Mytilus edulis: one gene and its partner. Each later gene encodes a partner of the first gene's protein in a complex. Links are inferred from orthologs where the notes say so. Each region holds a gene or a part of one and is shown on either strand. Other genes may lie near its edges. The genes, in order: superkiller complex protein 8-like and superkiller complex protein 3-like.

Evidence for each region.
Region 2: the proteins of superkiller complex protein 8-like (region 1) and superkiller complex protein 3-like are in contact, whole or in part, in a cryo-EM structure (PDB 7QDS), measured with the Homo sapiens proteins. The link is inferred for Mytilus edulis from reciprocal best matches to the Homo sapiens genes SKIC8 and SKIC3. Residues at the interface, in NP_001290176.1 of Homo sapiens: Asp16, Asp17, Trp20, Leu40, His63, Gln64, Leu65, Gly66, Leu84, Ala86, Gly105, Pro106, Val107, Trp110, His126, Lys149, Phe150, Glu187, Gly188, Ala190, Arg194, Asp201, Gln203, Tyr213, Asp218, Val219, Gln220, His221, Asn223, Leu224; in NP_055454.1 of Homo sapiens: Lys649, Leu688, Gly690, Lys691, Tyr695, Asn960, Pro963, Val967, Asn970, Lys971, Glu974, Gln994, Leu995, Lys997, Glu998, Ser1226, Asn1227, Lys1230, Lys1252, Leu1256, Lys1257, Gln1260, Lys1261, Ala1263, Leu1264, Leu1265, Pro1267, Trp1273, Lys1295, Arg1296.

The regions. Positions count from the first base shown.
Region 1 is NC_092354.1:39,860,579-39,873,126, reverse strand, and holds the start of superkiller complex protein 8-like, read right to left. Parts: upstream 5,298-12,548; 5' UTR 5,198-5,297; coding exon 5,183-5,197; intron 2,544-5,182; coding exon 2,516-2,543; intron 1,580-2,515; coding exon 1,474-1,579; intron 544-1,473; coding exon 458-543; intron 1-457. Other genes in the region: tetratricopeptide repeat protein 23-like, read left to right, coding at 5,819-5,919, 7,887-8,039, 8,559-8,727, 9,275-9,398, 9,874-10,156, 11,099-11,241, 11,842-11,923. UniProt on the Homo sapiens protein: Component of the PAF1 complex (PAF1C) which has multiple functions during transcription by RNA polymerase II and is implicated in regulation of development and maintenance of embryonic stem cell pluripotency.
Region 2 is NC_092347.1:76,708,411-76,720,903, forward strand, and holds the start of superkiller complex protein 3-like, read right to left. Parts: upstream 4,451-12,493; 5' UTR 4,268-4,450; exon of another isoform or gene 4,060-4,267; intron 1,248-4,059; 5' UTR 1,244-1,247; coding exon 1,154-1,243; intron 1-1,153. Other genes in the region: galactose-specific lectin nattectin-like, read right to left, coding at 7,000-7,223, 7,544-7,717, 8,260-8,488. UniProt on the Homo sapiens protein: Component of the SKI complex, a multiprotein complex that assists the RNA-degrading exosome during the mRNA decay and quality-control pathways.

The DNA of each region.
Region 1 (12,548 bases):
GAACTACTAAAAGGGGGGTGCATACTATACATAACTGTGTACTATACACAGCCAAACACGGTAAATGATCTTGTAGTAACTTGCTTGTTGACATTTCAGAATGTCAATCACTTACATAGCAGGATCTACTTACCCTTAAGGAGCACTAAATCACCTCATGTTATTGGTGGGGTTTGTATTACTCAGTGTTTAGTTTTCTATGTTGTGTTTTGTGTACTATTGTTTGTCTGTTGATCTTTTTCTTTTTCAGTCATGGCATTGTAAATTAAGTTCCACTTATGAGTTTGGATGTTTTTGTTAATGTCTACAGGAAAAACACCAAGCTGACATTCTTTGTCTTTTTTTATTTTAAATTTGTTAATGTTGTACTGTTGTCTATTTTATTTTACTTTTTGATTGGTTCCTTATTTATTTCATACCCCTTTTTTATTTTCTTATTTATTTTTAAAAAGGATACATGTTCCGTTTTTGTTAATGTCTACAGAAACAACACCAAGCTGATGTCCTTCTAAGGCATGTCGTAGATCTAATCTTCCGTCTGTCCTGTAAAATAAGAGAAAATGAAATTATCATCCAAAAGGTTAAAAAAAATTAAATATGTAAATTGTAACATATATATATTAAGGGTGTTCGCTTCTCTTGTTTTTTAATTGTTGTCAGATTTTCAGAACCCTCTGGTTTTATCCATTTAGTACTATCAAAATGATTTACCCACTATCCCCTACTTTTCTTTTCGTAATTTGATTACATTTTAAAATGTCTTTTTTGAAAATCTTATAAAATCCTTACCATTTTTTCATCATTTTTCAAAGAAAAAGACGCCAATGTTAAGTGTATGAAAAATCTAGAGAGAATCACTTCCCACCAAATTTTCAAAAGCTTATACTCAGAAAACAACCAAACTGAACCTTTATTTGTTCCTGCTTTTTAGGTTCCTTTATTTCAAAACTAACAATTAATTACAAGCTTTTTATTTTGAAACAAAGTAACCAACAACCTTAAGAAATCTCATGTGCAACTCAATATATCAGTGGCCACATTTTCTAGAAGTATGTCATCTGCAAACATTTCACTGATCATTTAAATGCATATTGTACAACACCTGAATCTTAAATAACCAATTGATCCAACTTTAATTTTAGTTCTTTAATATGTTTATGAGTTTAGTGTGACTTGAACTTTTCACTGAAAATTTGTGTTAAGCATGTTTAGGGGCCACCTAAGGCCCACCTCCATGTATGGAATTTTCTCACTGTATTGAAGACAGATTAGTGGCCATAGGCTATTTTTTGTTCCTTTGTCGGGTTGTTGTCTCGCAGACACATTCCTCAATATTATTTTAGAATATACATATTTTCAAATATATAAGTTTCAAATTCCTTGTATTATTTTTTTTACAATTAAAAATATATATAAAAGTGTAAATAAAAATATGATATTACAGATAAAGTTAATCTTAAATAATAATTTTACCATCTCCATATTTTGACGAGATCATCTATTCCCCCTGTTATAATGTTCTCAGATCCATCTGTTTCATTTTTCTTCCAAGCACAACTCCAAATACTGTCTTCATGTGCTATAAAATAACAAAATTATTATAAGCATCATTGAAGGTGGTTACGGTGGTACCCAACACTTTGACTGTTATTAATTTGGTTCATTTAATTTTCATAAAGTGTTGACAAAATGTTAACTTTGACCCCTTGACAAAAATATAAAAATTTTAAAAAATTTGAACTAACCACTTTATCAGAAAAAAATCAGTTTATGTAGCAGTTTGACAAACACTATTTTTCATCACTGAGAAGCTTAATATTTCCTTAACCAGGTTAACAATAAAATGTTGAACTCATTTTTACTGAGTTATCTCCCTGTAGTGTTAGGTACCATCTTAAATTCAATTGTTAACATTTACCATGATTTTTGTCAGATAATTGGAATCCTTTGGTTTTATCCATTTTGTTCCATTACAAACTTTGTCTGCTAAAACCTACTTCTCGTTTCTTTACTTTATAGCATATATCACGACGTATATACTTAGTTTAAAATCTTATAAAATCCTTGTGTTCTTTTCATACAGTTTTTTGAAAGAGAAAAGGTGTTTTAAAATTAAATGAATGATAATACTAGAGATAATCATTTTCCACCAACTTTTCATGGCTTACATGTATATCTTAAAAATATGCATACAGACCTTAATTTTTTTCTGTTTTTTAGTTCTGATTTATATATTTGTGTTGCTTAATCTTCAGTTTTCTATTTTGTGTCTTGTGTAGTGTGTACTAACTACTTATCTGTTTGCCTTTTTTCTTTATTAGCCATGGCGTTGTCAGTTTATTTTTGATTTATGAGTTTGACTGTCTCTTTGGTATCTTTCGACGCTCTTTTATCATGTTTATAAATATATATGTACTCAGATTTTATAGAAGTCTTTTGAAACATTGTACTTAATGAAATTCATTAGTGATAGAAAGTTATATCTGATTTGTGAATTAACAATGATTAAACTCACCTTGTTCCTGTTTGAATATCAGGGAATACTACAAAGATTAAAAATAATTAGGTTAACAGGAAATATTATTTTATCATGTTTTTAGGTCAAATGTCATGTGCTCAATTTTGTTTAAATATCCAACTTTTGATGGTTGGTGTGAATGCCAGTGAAAAACCAGAGAGCTACGTTTTAAATTGTTACAGTAAACATGGTAAAATATAAATCAACACAAATTTATCTAATTCATTCAAGGTAATGTTATTAATCTTGAGCCTATTAAACCTGCTGTATATTTTATAATACTTAAGTCTTTTGTTGGTGTGGTTCATAGGTGTTTTGCTTTCCTTGTTCTGTATATAGATAAGACAGCTGGTTTTGTGTTGACATTGTTTTACAGTCAACGACAGTGGTCATTTTGGTGACCTTTATAGCTTTCTGTTTATTGTATATATATATGCATGATATGTGAGCATAAGTGTTTTGTTCAACATGTTCAAACTTCAAGGTAGTAGTTTGACCTGTAATTTTTAATTTAAAATACATTGGCACTCTAACCACACCTTCTTATTTTTTATCATTACAAAAATGTGGACTTTTTTCAAGTAATCCGAACCATGATTTCTGATTCTAACATGCTAACGGGCTACAAATATATGCTATTCCATCTGCTTTGCTTTGTTATATTTCATTGCATTTCGGTATATTTTGTTTTGATTCCATTTCTCACTTTATAAATATCGGGAAAAATCATCTAAACATTTTAACATGTTTAATAAAATAAAAAAATCTCTTTCAACATGTTCAAAGACCAAATGAAAAAAAAAGAGTTTGGCTTTATGACTTTGCAGGTAGGCGTCAAAGCAAATATTAAAATAGTCTTTATTACAAGACGTCATAATTATTTGGACTAGTAAACTAGGGTATTAAAACTTGTGGAACTCATGTACACAATGACATTGTCAATGTGCTGAAAACGCTTTTAAAAAAAAAACTTTAATAGGCCAGTTCCCGGGATACAGTTTTCAGACGAATCTGTCATGTGACTTTCATCACCACCTGACAAAAATGTATGCATAGAAATTTCCAGCACATGTTGAGCAAACGGGTGAAAAAGTCTTATTTTATATTGCACAAAATATTTGGGAAATTAAAATCTAAAAGGATGGTCACCCTCACTCAATCCTATGGCAATCACGATTTATATGTACTTACAGAACATTAATTATTTCTATACTACCCTACAGAATGACGATTATGAAAGTGCTGGAAACTTTTTATAGACAGGGATGCAGGCGCGCCTTCTATCTGCAGACTACGCGAATGAATTTTATTTTTACAGGACATTCGGTCTGGTAAGCATCCTAGCTTTACCAGACCGAATGAAATTTTACCAGACCAATTTTTTTTTACATCTAATTGTATATTATCCGACAAAAAACAACAAACATATGACTTTGTTGTGCCGGCCTACTCCTCACCAAAATGCACAAATTAAAACAAAATGATGTAACAAGAGGGGATATTGTTATGAAAGTTGTGCACAATTGCTTGAATGCATTTCAGTGAAGAGTAATGTCCCATTTTATTGGATTTTGACAATGTTTGTGAACTAAACATAATTTAGAGTTTCTGTATAAAATATTATTTTTTGTTTCTTCTTTCTTTTTCATATATCTTTTGGTTTTCAATTCTTGTGGTTATATTTCATAGCTAAATTTTGTGATCTGCTTGGATTTTTATTCATTTATTGTATTTAAATCGGCAAACCCGGAATTATCCTTATCCGTTCCCAGAATCTGATCCGGTTTTATTTGCATTTCCGGTTGTGCCAATGATGGCATCCATTGTTGTTTTTGACAGTCAGATATGTTTTTACCCGGATTTACACATTACTGGTTGTCGATGTTCGGCATAAAGCTAGCGGTTGAACAAAATAAACATCGCTGTGATGAATAATAAAGATGAAAATGAATTTGAGATTGTTTGGCAATTTTGCTAGAATGTTCCATGAAAAAAAAACACCGGACATTCGGACCGGAATTCAACAAAATTTTACCAGACCGATCCATTATTTACCGGATTTGTCCGACGGTCCAACGTATTTCGTGTAGTCTGTATCTGGTAAATGACGTCATAAAGGCATGCAAAATTGACGATCTTTTCCGGTGGAAGACATGATTCCAGAAATGACCTGTATGTGGGTCTCATTGGGGTTTAAGCATGATATTATTCTAGAGTGATTTTCTGATTTATCAATTACTTTGTTCTTTTTTTATCGTGTTTATTAACAGCCACACCAGCTGTTCTCCACAAATTCATCTAACTCATTATTAGCCTATGTACATAGTTTTAATCACCTTTTTAAAAAAGTTAAATTACGCACCTCAAATTTATTTCCATATATTTTTGTCTTTGTCTTTGTAAATATATATATAGGCCACGCTGCGCGCGCAAACAGTAAATAATCTTCAGATCATTGAAGGACTACTGAAAACCTAAAGAAGAAGAAGCCACTGACACTGTGGATGATGTGGAGCCTGGAGGAGAGAAAAAGAGTAATGACACTATGTCAACAGTAAGGATCTGAGTAACAGTCACTTAACTGATTCATCCGGTGTGTAGTTAAAAGCAATATACGAATGATCTTTAATTGTCTATAATATAAAAGCAATTTCTTTTCCTTACCAACTGATTCGCCATCCCGTTGCCGGTGGCTGTGTAGTCAATAGAATGTTTTGTTTCCCATTCGGTTTTACTGTTAGATTAAACGCGCACCTGTCTAAGATAAAAATTTATAGTCTCTAACAAAATATTGTTTTGTTAAATTCTTGATTTGATCTGTTAAATTACATTTATATAACAGTTATTACTATAAAATTATTATTAAATAAAATATGATATATTTCTCTTTAAAAATATATACATCTATAAAATATTTATAAATTTTTTAATTTGGTTTCAAGACTGTTTACAAATGGCGACCGTAGATGTAAACAAATCAACAAAACTATAGACATAAACCTTTTTTTTCTGTCCAATACATTATATTGTACGTTATCGTTTACAATCATTAGTATTCATACACAAGTAGCACTTTATTCAGGAACAATTATCATTAATAGTTTCCTTTGACCAGATGTCGATTTAACCAGGGTCCGATTTGACTATAGCTAGCTTTGTGTATTTTACTATTTAACCCCTTCTACACTAGAAATACACGCAGCACGTTCTAGTTCGGCTCTGTTATGAATACGGGATCTGCTCAGACTCCTGTCGTCCTGAGTCCCGTACAATTAATCAAGATACCTTGGCACCAATAAAATGGGTGCCAGGCAATTCAGCATCAGCAAAAGACCTCATGGGCTAAATACCAGAGAAAGACAATTTGGTATCAAGACAAATCGGCACCGCATAACACTTCTGTTAGTCCGAGATTACTCTGAAGTCCAACAGACAAGATGGGCCTTGGAAGTCGGGCCTGTCCCATATTTTATCAAAAAGTGGATATTCGCACATCCAACATAGATGTGCTGCTTCATCGCTTCTGGTCCCGGCTAAAGGACTTGGAATTATATTATTATAAATCAAGTATCAATTTGTTCATTCTTCAGTTATCTCTTCGTTTATGTAAGTTTCATCTTCCTACCAACCTTTATTTTCTCATATTTAGACAGTTCTCACAGCAACCCATCGATTCAGACATTTTTACTTTTATTTTCAAATGGATGTCAAGTGATGAGAGACTTCACTGTCTCAAGACTGAAGTATGCAAATATTTATGCTAATTTTGGTATTCTGTATATTTCTTCACCCCCTTTATAGGAGATCGGTATTAAACACTTATAGTAGCCAACATTGATAACAATTGGAAGAACTCGGACATTTACCTTACTTGCATTGTAAATGAACGAGGTGTCAGATTATGTACATGTATTCATATCAACCTAGGGTCAATTGCATAAATCAGCTCCCATAACCCATTGTTCCTTACTTTTTCTCTTTAATCACATGACAATCTTTCAAAATGAAAGTTAAAATGCCTGAATCGATGGGTCACTGTAAAAACTGTCTAAATACACGTATGAGAAAATAAAGGGTGGCAGGTAGAAGAAATATTCATAAATGAAGAAGGAACAAATTGATACCTGATTTATATAATTCCAAGTTGGTTAGTCGGCACCAAAAGTGATGAAGCAGCGCCTCTACTTTGGACGGGCAAATATCCACTTTTTAATATGGGACGAGTTCTGACGTCCCCAAGCCCAGCTTGTCTGGCCAAATATAGCATTTGGACATCAGAGTAATCTTGGATTACACTTCGGTTTATATTCCACTATGAGGGTCGTAATGACCTTCATGACAAATGATGGTTTAAAATTTTTATAATACTAATAGTTGGTATCAGCTATTGAAGGGACAACCAACTTGCTATTATTACCAGTCTTTAGGTGTTTTATTATACAAAATAAATAAACTTTCTAAAATTCAACGTTCATAATCTAAAAGAAAACTAAAATGTCAAATAAACATGCCCAAAATTAACTATAATTTATTTTTAAAGTCTGTGTTGCATTTGTAAATATTTCATTTACTACAATCAAGACTAGGAATACTTGAGTTAAGATTTCTGTGCAGCTCATAAATTGTAGCTAAATAAGGCTAAAGTACATCAAACACAACAGTTTATAAAGACGTCGACAAACCCATATACATTTATTATATTTTAGATCTTTTAAAAATGTGTCCCGAAGATTTTCTTTCTCTTTTAAATTTGCTTCTGGTTAGTAATATCATGAATATGTTAATTTGAAATTACGACAGACACAAGCAGCAGTCAGTACCCCTGACTGAACAGATTATACCATTTACGATATATTAGAGTTTGACATTGCCAAGCGTACAAACCCATGCAGAATAGTTTATGACATCATTATTGTCCAATGAAAAATAAGTAAGGGAAATATAATTATAAAACTATTAACCAGGGTAATAGTTTTTGAAACCATTGACTAGCAAATAGTCTATGGAATGAAATAACACATCTTTTTCATTCTTTTTTATATAAACATACTGATCGACAATGATCGAGGTACATGTATAATAATAATTTTTGTTGCATGACAATAAAATGTACACTTTCTTTTTAAGACAATGTTCATTATGTGAGAACTCTGACAATATATATCTCAATACTAAAAAAGGATAATCTGATGAATCACATTAAATTTTGTAACTATTTGCCGAAATTGACCGTTTGTTCCTACAAAAAAGCACAGATTTTAGTAGCCCACACCATTTTTTAGGGAATATTGGCTAAAGGGTTCCTGCTTATTTCAAACCCTTCCTTCTCCTTTTAATTTCTAACTAAATATTAATTTGGAAATTTTAGAAAGTTAATTAGCAACATGCATTCAGAAGATTCTGATGACGATATGAATGTAGGAGCTCCCATGATGGTGGAGGTCAAAGGTCATAGTAGAACACCACGGCAACATTCACAAAGGTCACTTCACAGAGATTCAGATTCAGATGAAGAGAACAGGTGAGTGCATGTATCTAAAATTAGTAATTTAGATAAAAATGTGCAGCACTACAGAATTCATGAATTTAATAAGATTTGGAATGGAAATGGGGAATGTGCCAAAGAGACAACAACCCGACCAAAGAGCAGATAACAGCCGAAGGCAACAAAGGGGTCTTCACTGCAGCTAGAGTATCCTGCACCCTGATGCATGCTTTAGCTATTACAAAAATATATCGATGTAATATATATGCTTAATATCCAAGATGATGTTTCAATTGTCAAGAAAATTACATAACTTTTGTAAGGTGCAGAAATCTAACATCTGTTCTAAAAATATAAATGATGTCATTGAATTTGTTAAAGTCATCTTTTAAGAATTGGAGTTATCTTCCTTTGTCTAGAATTGCTATTAAATCAACTACAACCAATACAATAATTAATTGTACTTCCATATCATCAGCATATGATAAATTGAAACAATCTTTTCCAGTCAGTGCCACCAAGCACTTTGATTAATTTTTACAAATTATTCTCCAGATATGAAGATGACTATGAGGATGATATGACCACAGCTAGATCAGGGAGGACAACAAGTAGAAAGAAAAAGCCTGGGAAGAATGGTCGTCATGGGATAGATATGACACCACCTGACAAACTTCTCAAACAGGCAGTTAAAAGGATTGGAAAATTCAGAGAAAATGAAAAAGTATTAATTATTTTGATTAAATTTCTGCCAAAAAAATGCTTCATTAATATCTACTGTATATTCAGAATGTATTGTGTGCATTTATTATGGCGATTTTATCATTTTAGACTAAGATTTTAAATTTTGCGATATTCAGAAAAATCCTTTTGATACATATAAAAATTTCAGAATGCAAGTTTTAATTTTGTAAATGCAAAACTCACCCTGTCCCATTATAAGTATTTATAAAATCATAGCAATAAAATTTGAATTTACAGAATATCATCTCTTTAGCAAAATTAGCTTGTTTTTATTGAGATATTTGACATGATTAATATTGAACATGTTAAATGGATATTCCAGCATTCAAGTATGAAAAAAAATTGGAAGAAAAGTTTGGTCTGATTTATAACAATAAGTTAAAATTTATGTTTTGCAAGCTTACTTATCATGAAACTCAAAACTTTCACATGCTTAGATTAATTAGTAATGATTTTCATCTAAATTTAAGGGCAACATAGGGGCTCACAGACTTTAATAAATGATAATTTTATTCTTACAATTTTAGCATGATGAAGCTATCAGAGAACTGGTGCGATGCATAGCACTTACCAGGATTGTTTATGGTGCTAATCACTGGAAGTTAGCAGAAAGCCATGCTGATCTGGCCGAAGCGTATCTAGATCTTAAAGGTGTGATTATTCTGCAGGTTTAAGGTTTTATGCTTTTAAGAAATGAATGCTTCTGTTTGTAATTTTATTGGGGTGTAAAAGAGTTGACAGTAGGACATTAAATGATGATTGTAGTACAACCCAACCTCTGTTTTGGGATTGCAATTGTTTTTTTAATGTATGTGTCTGTTGTGAATTCTTCCCCCTGGTTTTGTGATATTAGCTCAGAAATTGAATTAAATCAGGATTCTTAGTTATAACTTGGAAGACCAGAAATGTCAATAATAGAAAAATATTAAATGGTTTATTTTTGGACAGGAATAATAAAGATTCAGTGCTTTTCGGGAATTTGTTATAAAAAGTTAAAAAAAAACGATAATTTTGAAGTCACAATTATTTCCAAATATAAAGCATATAAAAGAACACTAAATTTAAATTTTGGATTTTTTATACATATCTTGAAATAAATTTCAATTTCATGTTTCTTCCATTTTAGGATTAGCACCACAAGCAGACTACCACTCAGAATCAGCCAAAACCATCATGTTAAACACAGTTGCTACCTACACAACGGAACAAGAAAAAGCAGACGTCATCTTCATTTTGTTTAAGATTCATCATACTCAAGGGAGAGCACTCACAGAAATGAAACAGTACTCTGACGCAGAGAAGGCTCTGTCGAAGGCAGATAGGACCTGTCATGATTTCAGTCGGTTGACGTGTGTCAGTGATGATGAATGTGACGAGATGGAGATTAAATACTGTCATGCTACCGCTAGGTTTGTAATTTGCATTTAAATAGGAGAAATGTCTAGAGTTTTTTTTTATTCTTGGCTGTTAGCAGCCATAGTATCTGTCTGTACACTTACTTTAACTGCAAATATTTCTGCTTCTTTAAGAATCAGTTCTTACCATTTACCTCCCAGTGCATGTTTCTTTAAATTCTTTAATTAATGACAGTTTTCCCATCACACTTGCACTGTGTGATGGCGACAGTTCAAACGACAGGTCTTATAGTTAAGATTCCTGCATACTCTAAAACATTGACTAATTAGAGCAGCGGAAGACAATATTTCAATAGCAGTTCATTTATGAAGATTTTGATAATGTTCTTGATTTTCTTTACAAGAAAGTTCACATGCACAATTTGCTTTTCATTAAAACTTACTATTCAAGTACCGGTTCTGTATATAAAACATATTTGACTGTCTTTTTTTCAATTTTGAAGTTCATATGACATTAAGTTTTTATCTGTAACTTTTTATATTCAATTATGTACATGTACTAACATATATACATTGCATGTAGTACTGTAGATTCAGAAATTATTGTGCATTCATCATTTCGATTTTTGAAGAATGGAGTGGAGATTAATTATTGTGAGTTCATGAAATGTTCACTAAGAGTTCATATTATTGCAATGGTCACCCAGCCATATTATTTGCATTATTAAAAGCCTCAAAATAATTTCTGAATTTGCAGAACTGTGGTTTGATTTATCTTCATATTTATTCCCTAATAAGGAATGTTTACATTTTCATGGATATTTAATTTGGTGTTATTTTTACAAAAGTTTGCAAACAAGCTTATACAGAAAATTTGTCATTGATTTAAAATTTAATTTTGCGGTTTACCTATACACACAAAAACAAATAAAATGGTATTCAAAGTATAATAATGAATCCACAGTAATTGTTTACATAATGTAATGTATTCTACAGATTATACTGGAAACAGAAGAAGCATGCCAGATCAGCCGCCCAGTTTGATAAACTATTAGACTTAATGAAGAGACAGTATGGACCTGATTCTATGGACCTTGTTCCTATTTATCAGGAATATGGCAAAATATCCTTTTATTTATGTTATGAAAAGTCCCCTTTTTTAAATGGTTTAATACATAGATAAACTATTAAAGTTGAGGAACAAAGGAATTAACCAAAACAAAAACAAAAGTCAAAATAAAAAAAAGAAGGAAAGATCAAGTATAATAGAGAAATACAAAATGCATGAGCCTATTCATATATAAAAACTAGATTGAGGTGTCTAAAAAAAAGAAGATATCAACATCTGGTATGATTGCCAATGAAACAAGTATCCACAACACACCAAATGACACAGAAATTAACAACTATAAGTCACTGTACCGCCTTCAACAATGAGCAAAGCCCAAACTGCGTAGTCAGCTATATAAAATGTGGTGTGTTTGTTCTTGATTATCTCTTATATGTGTAAAATGCTCCAAATGACTCTTGAAACTATTATTTGTTAGCCATTTTAGTATTATAAGAAAACTGTGATTAATTTGTGTAACATAACCAAATGAACTCTATTGAAATTTGAGATATTGATAAAAAAAAAAAAACTGGAGAAAAAAGATGTGCATACATAGTACAGGAAATGAATTAATTACACCAGAAAAGGTTATATACTGTTACTGCTAACTTTCCTTAACAAGTATAAGTAGAATTGAGCAAAGGAAAATATGCCAATTATGACAAAGCCACAGACCTGTACCTACAGTCTCATACTATAGCTGGTGCTAAGTAAGTTTACAGTTTAACCTTGCTCATGACTGTTTAGGATGAGGTAACAAAATTCTAGTAAAATTGACAAAATTGAGTACCACAATGTATTCCTATTTCAGGTTAATATAAATACAGGTTTTTTTATTATTCATAAACAAAAAGTACATTTAGCAATTCATTCTCACAACACTTATTGAAATGATTGTTATTTTGAAAAATACAACTATAGAGGGCTGTTTAGTGGGATAACTGACAGCAGCTTTGATCATGGATCGTTTCTTATATTATAAAGTGAAATTTTTGCTTAATTTAATCTAAATTGATAAACATTTTCTGTGTTCAATATTAAAAAGAAGATATGGTATAATTGTCAATGAGACAACTCTCCATAAGAAATTAACAACTATAGGTGACTGTATGGCCTTCAACAATGAGCAAGCCCATACTGCATAGTCAAGTTGTTATTCATTTAGGACAGGAACAATACAAAAATAAAACCTTACTAATCTGTTTGACATTTGAAATCGGAAAAGTTAGTCTATGCAAAAAAGTCTTAATATTACATGTATTGTATATATAAAGGACAACTTATAATATTGTAAACTTTTTTATGTTCTAAGAAAAAGAATGCTGACAAAAATAG
Region 2 (12,493 bases), on another chromosome or scaffold:
TTCACTGAATTCTGTCATTTAACAACAACTACAATATTTTTTGAAATCTTAATAGTGTACAACTGAACTGCAGGCAAGGGCCATTTTCCATTTTTTGTGACAGTAAACTTTTTTAATTTTTTCTTAAGAAAGTTAGGACTGAAAAATCTATTCAGTTTTAAATTTCAATTGATAAAGTTCCCAGTTACAACTCTCATCACAGGGATACAGGTACTAATAAAAAACAATATGATTGATGTAAACAGTGTGAAGCTTGTTTCCAAATCCTACATTTTGAAATATTTGTAAATCTCATGAATACATGTAAATAGGTTTAAACTACAAAATTTGTAATTATTTTTTTTCTGTTACCATAACAATGATTATGTTGGTACACAAAATTTAGTTTTAATGAAAGACTACTAATCATATGCTAAATGTCACATTTTGAAGTGTTTATTTTAGTGGATAATTACTCATCAATTGAGGTGCTCCTGAATTGGAGGAAGATGCTCAAAACAGAGTTTTACAGAAAAAAAAGGAAAAAAATGTTTCTCTCCCCAATCTCATGTATCCCCACGGACTTTGCTTACTTTGAAAGTTGTTGACCTACAAATTAAAGTATTGCACGTTGATGTTTGAATCATCTACAGCAAACATAATTATGTTTAAATTTAACAAATACCATTTTTTAATTAGTGCACGATCTTTGAGAATGATTCAAATAACCAGTGAAGGATATCCCTGCTTCTGCGTAGTGTGGCATCCCAACAATGATGTCACTATAAAATATAATGTAGGTTGGATATATTTAGAATATCTCGTCAGTATGATTTTTCCGGATTGTAAAAGAAACGTAAATAGTGTAAAGGAGAGCTCTAGATACGATAATTTCGCGAGAAACAGAAGGGAAATGTGTAAAAAAAGTGTTTAAAGTCAATCTATTCATTTGTGTGTTTCCTTCTCACCAATCTCAGTAAGATTTGTTGGGGGGGTTTCCACACTATAAAAACAAAATGAATGATGTGAGGGAATGTCACTCTGGTCAACCCCATAGGGGATTGACGGCTTGAAGCCGTCTTTCCCCCAAAAAATAAACCTAGCTCTAATATGTAAACAAACATGATATATACTTTCAATATGCATGATATGAGGATAAAGTTATAATTCCTACCTTGCAATGTTTGAGGGCTTCTTTAAATTGCTTTTCTCTGATACACTCTCTAGCATTTTTCAATGCAGTCTTTATTTCTTTAGTATCCATTTATCTGAGAGAAAAAATCCATTGCACTGATATAATAAAATGCTTCGCTGAGCGCAGCCTTATACATCTGCAGTCGTCCTGGTCAAACCCTGAACAGTTGGTGCATGTTTGGACACAATATTCAAGCTTGATACTGTCTGAATTTGGATTGTGATTAAATTTTTGATATAATATAGGTTTATGACACAAAATAAATGTGGTGAAAGATCTTAAAAATTGAAATGGGTTGAAATTTTTGTTTTAATTTTCAATTGAAGATTTTCCTGCTATTGCACAATACTGTGTAATTGAAGATGTGCTATTGCACAATATTGTCAATAGTGTGTTTTGAAAATTTCTTGTTATTGCGCAATACTGTGCAATAGAAGATTTCTTGCTAATGCACAAAACTGTGCTATAGTGCAATACTGTGCAATTGAAGATTTCTGGCTAATGCACAATACTGTGCTATAGTGCAATACTATGCAATTGGAGATTTCCTGCTATTGCACAATACTGTCCTTAATAATTTACACATCATATTTGGTGTGTAACTTCTGCCATATCAGTATTTTTTACTTTAATATACAATGCTATTGCACAATACTTTACTTAATAATTTACACATCATATTTGGTGTATGATGATGATGATGATCTTCTGCCATATCAGTATTTTTTACTTCAATATACAAATAAGAATTATAAATCAATGGAAAAATGGAAAATTTTAAGAAAAAAATAAAAATATGAAAATTTTTTACCTCCCCCTACCCACCCACCCCCAAAGGTTGAACCCCCATTTTTACTTAAACCCCTCCCCCCTTTCCAGTTATTACCCACAAACTCAATCCTAGCTTTCCCTTTGAGGTATGATACCTTGCTGTAGAATTTCAGAGAGATCCATTCACTTGACCTCAAGTAATTGTCTGGAAACAATTACCCTTAAACTCAATCCCAGCCTTCCCTTTGTCATATGGAACCTTGTGGTACAATTTCAGAAGATCCATAAACTAATACACAATTTTTTGTCTGGAAACTAGAAAAGTGCTTATTTTGACCCTTTTGGGTCCTAATTTTCCTAAACTGTTGGCACCATATAACCTCCAAAATCAATTCCAAACTTTCTTTTGTGGTTTCAAAATTTGTGTTTAAATTAAAGAGATCCATTCACTTAAACTGAAGTTATTGTCTGGAAACCAAGTGTCTTCAGGCAATGACGAAGACGACGTGATACCAATATACAAATGTAACACCACAAAAATTTTTGCGGTCCTAAAAATCCTGAGGCAAGCTTTACCTAATTTTAACAAAACAGGAAATCTTTTGAATAAACCCATCAGCAAAAATTGTTCCCTCTGTCCATTCCATATGAAATTAAAAGATTTTGTCTATTTTTATTATCGGTATATAGATAAATATTTTAATTATTTTTTGTTTGCGTCTTTTCTGTCTGGAATGGAAACTATCCATTTCCCAAGATGAAGCCAAAAAAAAGAAGACAGAAAAATATAAACTGATATACATGTACAAGTAGCTTGCCACTTACAGTTGGTGAAATTACAATGTCTTATAATGGTATCGTTTAGGTCAAACTTTTGTAAAAAATTAAAAAATCTTATTTCATTTACATGATTTAGGACAAATGTAGGAGAAAATTTTCTAAATTTATTCCAGACAAATAATTCAAAATTTCAGTAAAATATTTCAAAGTTGGCGAAAAATTTAATTTTTCAATTTTTATTTCAGAAAACGCAAATTTTATTGAACAAATCTTAAATATGAAGGAGCTAAAAATAAATTTCAAAGTTATTCAAAATTAAATATATTTGTTAAATTACATTTTAAGTTTGATGTCTTTTAAAAAATAACATTTAAATGCTTTTAAAATAACATGAATATTCAATAAAAATACGAGGAAACTGTTTTTTGGGGTACGTGTGTGTAGAGTGGGGTGCACATATTCGCCGGCAGCCTCAGTTCTCCAAAAGTGGTGGTCCTCAGGATTTTACCACCAAAATTTTGAATAGGACCAACACAATTTTAGTATTTTTCAATAGAATTAAAAGTGAGGACCAGCAGATTTTCAGCACTAACCACAAAGGACAGAAGAAGGAACAATGATTTTTGGCCAATTTTCTGAATCATCCAGCATGATAATCACGGAAATCACAATGGCTGCCATGTTGGATATACATGTACACACTAAATTTAAAATGATCTGTATGAACTTATCTGCTTTCTGTAAATCATTTTTAAGTTATAAAATACATCGATAATTCATTATTATTTAATAATCAATGTTTAATAGTCACCAATATGTGCTTATATCAAAATTTCAAGTGTTATTCGGTCATTACAAGTGTTATTCGGATAATAACAGTGTTATTCGGTCATTCGTGTTACCCCATATTGGGATACATATTGATGTATTTAATAACTTAAAATGATTTACAGAAAGCAAATAAGTTCATAAAGATCATTTTGAATTTAGTGTGTTCTTCCAACATGGCAGCCATTGTGATTTCCGCGGTCACCATGTTGAATGTACACACTAAATTCAACAAGTTCTTTATGAACTCATCTGCTTTCTGTAAATCATTATTACATTATAAAATACATCGATAATATACTATTATTTAATAATCAATGTTTAAAAGTCACCAATATCATATATCGGTGCTAATATTAAAATTTCTAGTGCTATTTAGTCATTACAAGTGTAATTCGGATATTAACAGTGTTATTCGGTCATTCATGTTACCCCCACCCCAACTCTATATTGGGGTAAAAACTTGCACCCTGTAATAATATCCCATTTGAGTGATTGGTCCCTACCTCACTCAGCTGGTAATCAAAATAAGTACATCTTCTTGTGTACGTTGGTTATATGCATTCCTGTTTTGAAGATAGGTGTATAAACTTGCACACTTCTCGAGACCACTCGGACAGAGTGATTTATTTTCACTTTCAGTTTCAATTTGTAGAACCGTAAAAACGTCATCAAACAGGGAAAAAAATGAAAGATCTTAAATTTATAGCTTACACAGTTTATAGAACTTCCAGAACTGCTGTATCTTTCATTACTTTTGTATAACCAAGGCTCGTTGTTTTAGTAAGACTACTGTAACTCCGAAGAGATGAAACAGTGAAAAAAGAAAAAAATGAAAGAAAAGAGGATTGAAGATAGGGGAGAGTAACGATGATGGATGGTCTGTATCTGTATATCTTTTTCTTCTCCCAATATAGACACACCTCCACTTCTACATCTACATCTACTTTTAATACTTCTTAACTTCAATATGTTGAAGATTACAAGAAGGCACATAATAGAGAAACAAATTAAAATCTTAACATATTTACAATTATTTCAAAAACATTTTTTTTTAGTAAATAGATAAAAACATGATTTGATTTAGCAATACATATGTGGTTTTGCACCAGACTTAAATCGGCTTCAAAGTCTGGGCTACAGGCTACTTGGCATCATGGTAAAGAATTCCACAACCTTACTGTTCTAGGAAAAAAATGAATATAAATGATAATTTGTGGGAGAGAATGGGTGTATGAATTTATGTTCTTTTGATGGTATTAGGTATTTATTGACTGGCCGATGGAAACTAATTGATGTTGAATTTTAATTAAGTGTATACCTGGCAGCTCTTCTCTGAACCATTTCAATTTTATGTATTTGTTGTTTCTGCCAGGGGTCCAAAACAACTACAGTATGCTTTTTTTGGTCTGACATATGTTTTGTAAGCCAGTTCTTTTGTTTTTATGTTGTCACGGTAGTTTTGACGTTTCTTTTAATAAATCTCAGTGATGCTTTTGCGAGGCTTTTGCTTTATGTGTGATGTTATTTATATGAGAATTCCATGTCAGATCGTTAGTGATGGAAACGCCAATACATTTTGCTTTGTTTGTTGATTTTAAAATATCATCATGTAATGTGTATTTATAGATGATTGGTTTATGTTTTCTTGTTATGTGGATGATTTCACATTTGTCTGGGTTAAAGGACAAAAGCCATTCTTGCTCCCATTGTTCCAATTTATGTAAGTCTGATTGAAAGGTGTGACAGTCAGCTAGTACACTTTTATAGTCCTTCAACCAAAATTAAGTGTTATATTGGAACTTTCAATTTTTCTATTGATAAAAATGAAGGCAGTGGCTATTTTGCCGGCTCCGGCAAAATAGCCTCTTGGGTGCTATTTGGGTGGCTCCGGCATAATACTAGCCTCCTTGCATTTATATAGAGTTTTGCTATTTTGCCAGTCTTATTTCAGATTTTTAATCATGACTATATGAATTTTTTTTTTAAAGAAAACTATCTAGCACAAATGATATATGTGGCTAGATGTCAATAACCTTTTATTCTTCGCCTTCTTCGTAGTCATTCAATTTTAGTGGATTGCGCTCATTTAATTTACATGTACTGTGTTTTTGTTAGATGTATGTTATTTGTATCCATCTGATAAGTTAAGTCTTTTTCAACAGATTTCTATAGTTCGTTCTTATGTTGTACTGTTACCACTGTCCCAGGTTAACATGTAATACTCCGCCACATTCTGTATGTATGTGCCTGTCCCAAGTCAGGAGCCTGTAATTCAGTGGTTGTCATTTGTTACATATTTTTTGTTTTCGTTCATTTTTTTCTTCTTCATAAATTAGGCCGTAAGTTTTCTCGTTTGCATTGTTTTACATATGTCATTTCGGAACCTTTTAAAGCTGACTATGTAGTTTGGGCTTTGCTCATTGTTGAAGGCAGTACGGTGACCTATAATAGTTGTTAATTTCTGTGTCATTTGGTCTCTTGTGGAGAGTTGTCTCATTGGTAATCATACCGCATCTTCTTTTTTATACATACATAAATTTTTGTTGAAAATTGAACGTTCGAAAATGGAAAACAACAAATTTGTTATCAAACAAACTTGATTTTCCACTGATATACCTGAAGAGCTACAGCCGGGTTTGGAGTACTTTGAAACGTAAAACGAAGACCTTAAAAAATCATGAAAGCCAGACAAAACTTTAATATAAATCTGAAGTCTATGGCACAAAAAAATATTATAAGGTAAATAAAAAAAAGTGTACACACGATGCATAGAAATCTAGCTATTGATAGCATTTATTCCATGAAATTTGAATCAAACAGAAACGTATATATCTGCAAATGTTGCAAAAGTGATGCAGACATTAAAGAATCAAGTGGTAGCACATTTCTGGTGCCAGACTTGCCAGACTTTAAAAAAAAAATCACCAAAAAGCAAGGCACTGGTTTTATATGGGTTCATATGCTTTCAATTGCTGATGTGTATTACATGTATATACATTTTTTAAAGAAATTGTTTTACCTCCTATTAATGAAAAAAGTACTAGTATCAATTTCAATATTTTACTTTTTAAAAAAGTTTTAAAGACATGTTTTTAGAGACTGAAGAATATCAATTTTAAAGTCATAAGAAAAGAGTGACCCGTGAAAAATAATGTTTATCCAATCCTTGAACCAATGCATGTATATGTTGTGTACAAGTTATCATTTTGTACAAATTGTAATTTGTACAAAAATATTGTACAAATTATAATTTGTATTTTGCCTTTGTACAAATTATAATTTGTACAAAAAGTGCCTGTACAAATTACAATTTGTACAAAATTTGACCAAAATTCACTTATAACTTGTACAACAGTTAAATATGAATTTTGGTGAAAAATGCATTGATTCACAGGATAGAATCCTGCTTTGCATGTTCATTTTCACTAATTTCTTATATCAAGTCAGGTTTTCTCGCATAAGAATCCTCCTAATGTTGAGCCAGCTGTCTCTTCCCATCCATAAGACGATGCTTTATTCATAGCGAGATGATCTTTAGCATCATGCCCAAAAGGCGTGGTAGGACTCCAGTTGAAGTATTTCATAAGCTGTCCATCATCGAACGCCCACGTGCCTTCCTTTGCAGAATCGTTTCCTTGGATGTATACTAAATTTTCGTTGTAGAAATCTGAAATGGAAAATTGTGTTAATTAATTGCTTGCTGTGTAGCTGTAAGTCTGTAGAAAATAAGATTGATATATGTGTATAAGGTAGAAATTATCATCATATAACAACCGTCCGGGGCCTTAAGAAAAAATGGGGATGCTCTAGATATTTCAAAAGATTATGCATACAACTAACACATGCTATCTTTAAAGTCAATTATCATTCCAATCATAAGTACTTGTACAAAGAAGAAGAGGTCCGGTGCTCGTTTCTCCCTTACTTAAATTTGGCACCAGCTAGTGTATCTATAATCATGAAATCGAGAAGTAAAATGTTCTTTACCCAAATATGTCATCAAATGAGTCTGTTGTAGTTGACTTTGGACTCTAATCAGTTGTCCGCCATTGCGACGACATGCAATGTCAGCTTCATACACATTTTTAAGATCGTCAAAGTATTGGTAACATAAGGAAGCTTTCCTGTTCTGGTTGAAACCATCCATAGGTGGACAAGTACCTGCAGAATATATATATATATAGAAAGCGAATTTGGTGGTACGATGTTAGCAGGGTTTCGGTAAATTATCAAGTTATGTTTTACAGAATGAAAACAAAACAACCTTCTGATACAGTAAGATTATATATCATAATAAACTGATATTTCCCTTTGGTAGAACATTGTAGAGGTGGCATCCGTAAAATTTTCGAAGGGATTTTTTACTTCCGTGTAAGCAGTAATTCTCTAACGGATAAATCATAGCAGGATATGCTAGCTCTTGGAATACCGTATTAACAGGGAAATTCATACTCAATATACAGGTGCTGCTGGAATGTTGCTACATAAAAATGGAAAAGTTCACAATCGGCAAGCTGAACTCATATCTCTTGTCATAAAGTTTTTTTCTCTACCAACTTTTTAAACTCCTTTAAAACATTTTGCAATGAAGTCAGCTTTCATAAACAGAAGATATAGGGCCTGAATGGTGATTTAAATTTCAATTTGTTGTCTTTATAAATAAAAAAAAAGCTATTATTATAATTTTTAAAAAGAAAACTCACTTTCATAAACGTTATAGTACCGCCAACCCATATCACCTTTCCACTTCCCATTATTTCCCGGGGTATTTACACTCATTAGTCGACATTCAGTGGTATTCTGACGGTAGAAATATGCCATACACGCTAAGTTCTGGAGGCAATGGAACGCACATTTTCTTATACTTTCCGTCTTAAATGTTCCGATAGAATTTTTATCCACGATTTTATTTGTTTGGTTTAAATTCTCCATAGCAAAAATCGAACTTATTCCTAACTGGGAACAATAAATTGCCCGGGTATACAGAATTGTCCATACTAGAATCGTAGTGATAGTCATCATTGCTGTCTAAGTATTGTTACTGTGCAGTTATACTGTAAAACGGCATGATCAACCGATTGTCATTTATCTGCCTTTCATGTAGAGGAATTGAAGTATTCACGAATGTTAAATGAAGGGAAGACTGCAAATTTTGTTTTAATCGCTCAACATAACGATGTTATTCCATCAATTAATTATAACACTCTGAATTATTGGTTTTTGTGGTACCTAATCATTATTTTCCAATACAAAGCGAATTTTAATTCATATACTGCACTCTCATCATCTTTTAACTTTTAGTCCTCATTTTAATTACAACCAATACACATCGTTGCATAGATAAACCTTTTATTATTACATGCACTTAAAATGTGATTGATTTTGCATTTAGGGTTGTTTCTTTTTATTTAGATACCGTAAATTGTTACTAAAACAAAAGTTTTATGTGAGCCGTTAATTCTCACGGTTTGATGCTGAAACTATGCCTGCTTAACACCAAGTGACAAGAATTTCATGCATTTCTAGGAAGAAATACTATACAGATGTTACATCCATTTAAAACATTCTATATTTATTTTCTAGTAGATTCAGAATTCAATTGTTTTACATTTGTCATTTCAGTGCCCATAGTTTGCTATGTAATACAGTGTTTCCTCAATGTTGACCTATAGCCCTTAACTTCTACAACATACCACATCTACATAATTTTGAATAATTAATAATGTGAGCCTCCAATAAAATACATATCAATTTTGTTTTGGAAATGTGATATTTCTTGTCAAGTATTACCATGTTTGTTCTTTGAAGAGCTACTACATTTGTAGAATTTTGTTTTAACATTTGTGTTTAAATAATATTTTTCTTCAACAAATGCAAGCGCATCAGTTCTTTTTACACACTGCACACCTGGATCTTAATGGATTTTCAGGTATGGCCACCCTTAGGCACCCTACAACATAATATATACTCATGACTTAAATCTCTTTTTTGAAAATTTGGCCTTTTTGACCTATTGTTGATTGTGTCCTGCTGTTCATTTTTGCTTTTTACATTTTCTATCTTAATTACTGTTATTTCAGAAAACATTTTTGATAGAAATGGACAGTACATTTTAAACATTTCTGCCCTGTCAGACTTTCTCCATCTATAGCTGTTAAAAATAATTAACAAACTTCCATTTACCCATATATAAAAAAGAAGATGTATGATTGCCAATGAGATAACTCTCCACAAGAGACCAAATGACACAGAAATTAACAACTATAGGTCACTGTACGGCCTTCAACAATAAGCATAGCTCATACTATTGTTTATATTTCTAGCCATGTTCACAATGTTAGTTGGCAGACAGAACCATTTGACAAAAGATATAAACTAGATACCTAAATGATGGCTATGGCCATTTTGCCCAGCATTTGCCAAATTATTCACTAACTATTAACAAGAGTGCACACGCTGAAATGTCTCGCCTTCTATACTAATCATTGATATTATGTTGATAGTCCTAAGCTAAGCTTTATTACAACTGTCACATAAACTTAACATTAACCAAGATAACTAAACAAAGACCAATGAACCTTGAAAAAGAGGTCCAGGTCCGATGAACCATGCCAGGCAGACAGGTACAGCTAACAATGCTTCTATACAACATATATAGTTGACACATTACTTATAGTTTAAGAAAAATAGACCAAAACACAAAAACTTAACACTGTGCAATGAACCATGAAAATGAGGTCACAGTTAAATAAAACCTGCTCGACTGACATAAAGATCATAAAATATTTCCATACACCGAATATAGTTGACCTATGGCATATAGCATTAGATAAAAAGACCAAAACTCAAAAACTTAACTTTGACCACTGAACCATGAAAATGAGGTCAAGGTCACATGACATCTGCCCGCTAGACATGTACACTTAACAATCATTTCATACAACAAATATAGTAGACCTATTGCATATAGTATGAGAAAAACAGACCAAAAAAACACAAAAATTTAACTATAACCACTGAACCATGAAAATGAGGTCAAGGTCAGATGACACCTGCCAGTTGGACATGTACACCTTACAGTCCTCCCATACACCGAATATACTAGCCCTATTGCTTATAGTATCTGAGATATGGACTTGACCACCAAAATTTAACCTTGTTCACTGATCCATGAAATGAGGTCGAGGTCAAGTGAAAACTGTCTGACAGACACGAGGACCTTGCAAGGTACGCACATATCAAATATAGTTATCCTATTACTTATAATAAGAGAGAATTCAACATTACAAAAAATTTGAGCTTTTTTTTCAAGTGGTCACTGAACCATGAAAATGAGGTCAAGGACATTGGACATGTGACTGATGGAAACTTCGTAACATGAAGCATCTATATACAAAGTATGAAGCATCCAGGTCTTCCACATTCTAAAATATAAAGCTTTTAAGAAGTGAGCTAATGCCGCCGCCGTAGCCGCTGTCGCCGCCACCGGATCACTATCCCTATGTCGAGCTTTCTGCATCAAAAGTTGCAGGCTCGACAAAAATGAATAATCATTAGGAAGGATTACAAACTAGTTTTACGGTAGGATACAGAATCATCTATATAGATATGATCTGGAAGACAGAGAAACACGCACAAAAAAAGGTCTTCTCATTTAGTATTATGGATAACTGTATAAATGAAGCAATGGTAATAGCACTATATATTTTTATTTGTGATAAATAATAGCATATAAATTCTATGCTTTATAAATTCAACATCTTAGAAACATACTTAACATGAAATAACAAAAATACAAGCATTTAAATTGGCGTGCTTCACAAAATTTTTATGGAAAATGATGAAAAAAGATGAGCAACTAAAAACATTAAGATATGTAATTTTTGTTATCTATAATGAACAATATATATATATATATGAAAATAATGCTGTAGCTAGACCTTTGAATCTCTCCATAAGTGGATTTAGAAAAGTTTTTTAGTCAAAACTTAAAATATTTATTTCTGAAATAATGAAATAAGTAAATCTCCATTAGCTTGCAATCTTGAAGAGCAGACATTTTTTATAGACAAAAAAAAAAATATAAACATCAAATTCACAAGTTACAAAATGTATATAAATATGTATACTATACATAGTTTTTTATTTTATAATAATTACACTGAATAATATATTTGAATCCTTCAAAAGGAAACATATTGATAGCAAAATAAAATAAAACCAAGTTACTAAAATTTGAAAATTCATCCCCCATCTTTCAAAATCCAAAAATGTGATTTTCATTAGTTTAAATTTGAATTTAAGATACTGTGGATTCCAATTTTCATGGGTTTCTTGAGTTCAGGTGAACCACGAAATCAAATTTACAACGAAATACATATTTTTAATAGGTTTTGTACACAGAGATTGTCAAAACCATGAAATCAAATATCCACGAATATGCAAGTTTTCAGCAATCCACGAAAATTGATACCAACGACAATAAACGAATCTACAGTATAACATAGCAGATTCAGAGTGAGTGTAATTTCCCCATTAATAATAGATAGATATAGTTAGTTCAAGACAGTAATAATTAATTTAAGACAACTTTTCATTTTATTTCAAGTGTACCCCTTTGTACATGTTGTATATGATAATACTGCCTGTATCTGTAGTAGATGCTATACTATAAGCATAGATGTTTAAACCCCTATGCTATAATGGAATGATAAATAAAAGAAGGAAAAATATATCAAATTAAATGCATTCAAGAAAAAAAAACTATAAATGTAACAAGAATTATGTGACAAAAAACAACATTTTCTTCACAATACCAAATCCTTAGCAAATCTTTCTAACTTGTTGAAATACCTTAAACACTTTAATGAGTGATGAATGAATGCAGATTGTGACTAGTTATAAAAAAAATATTAGTGAAATGAAAGAACCTTTGTT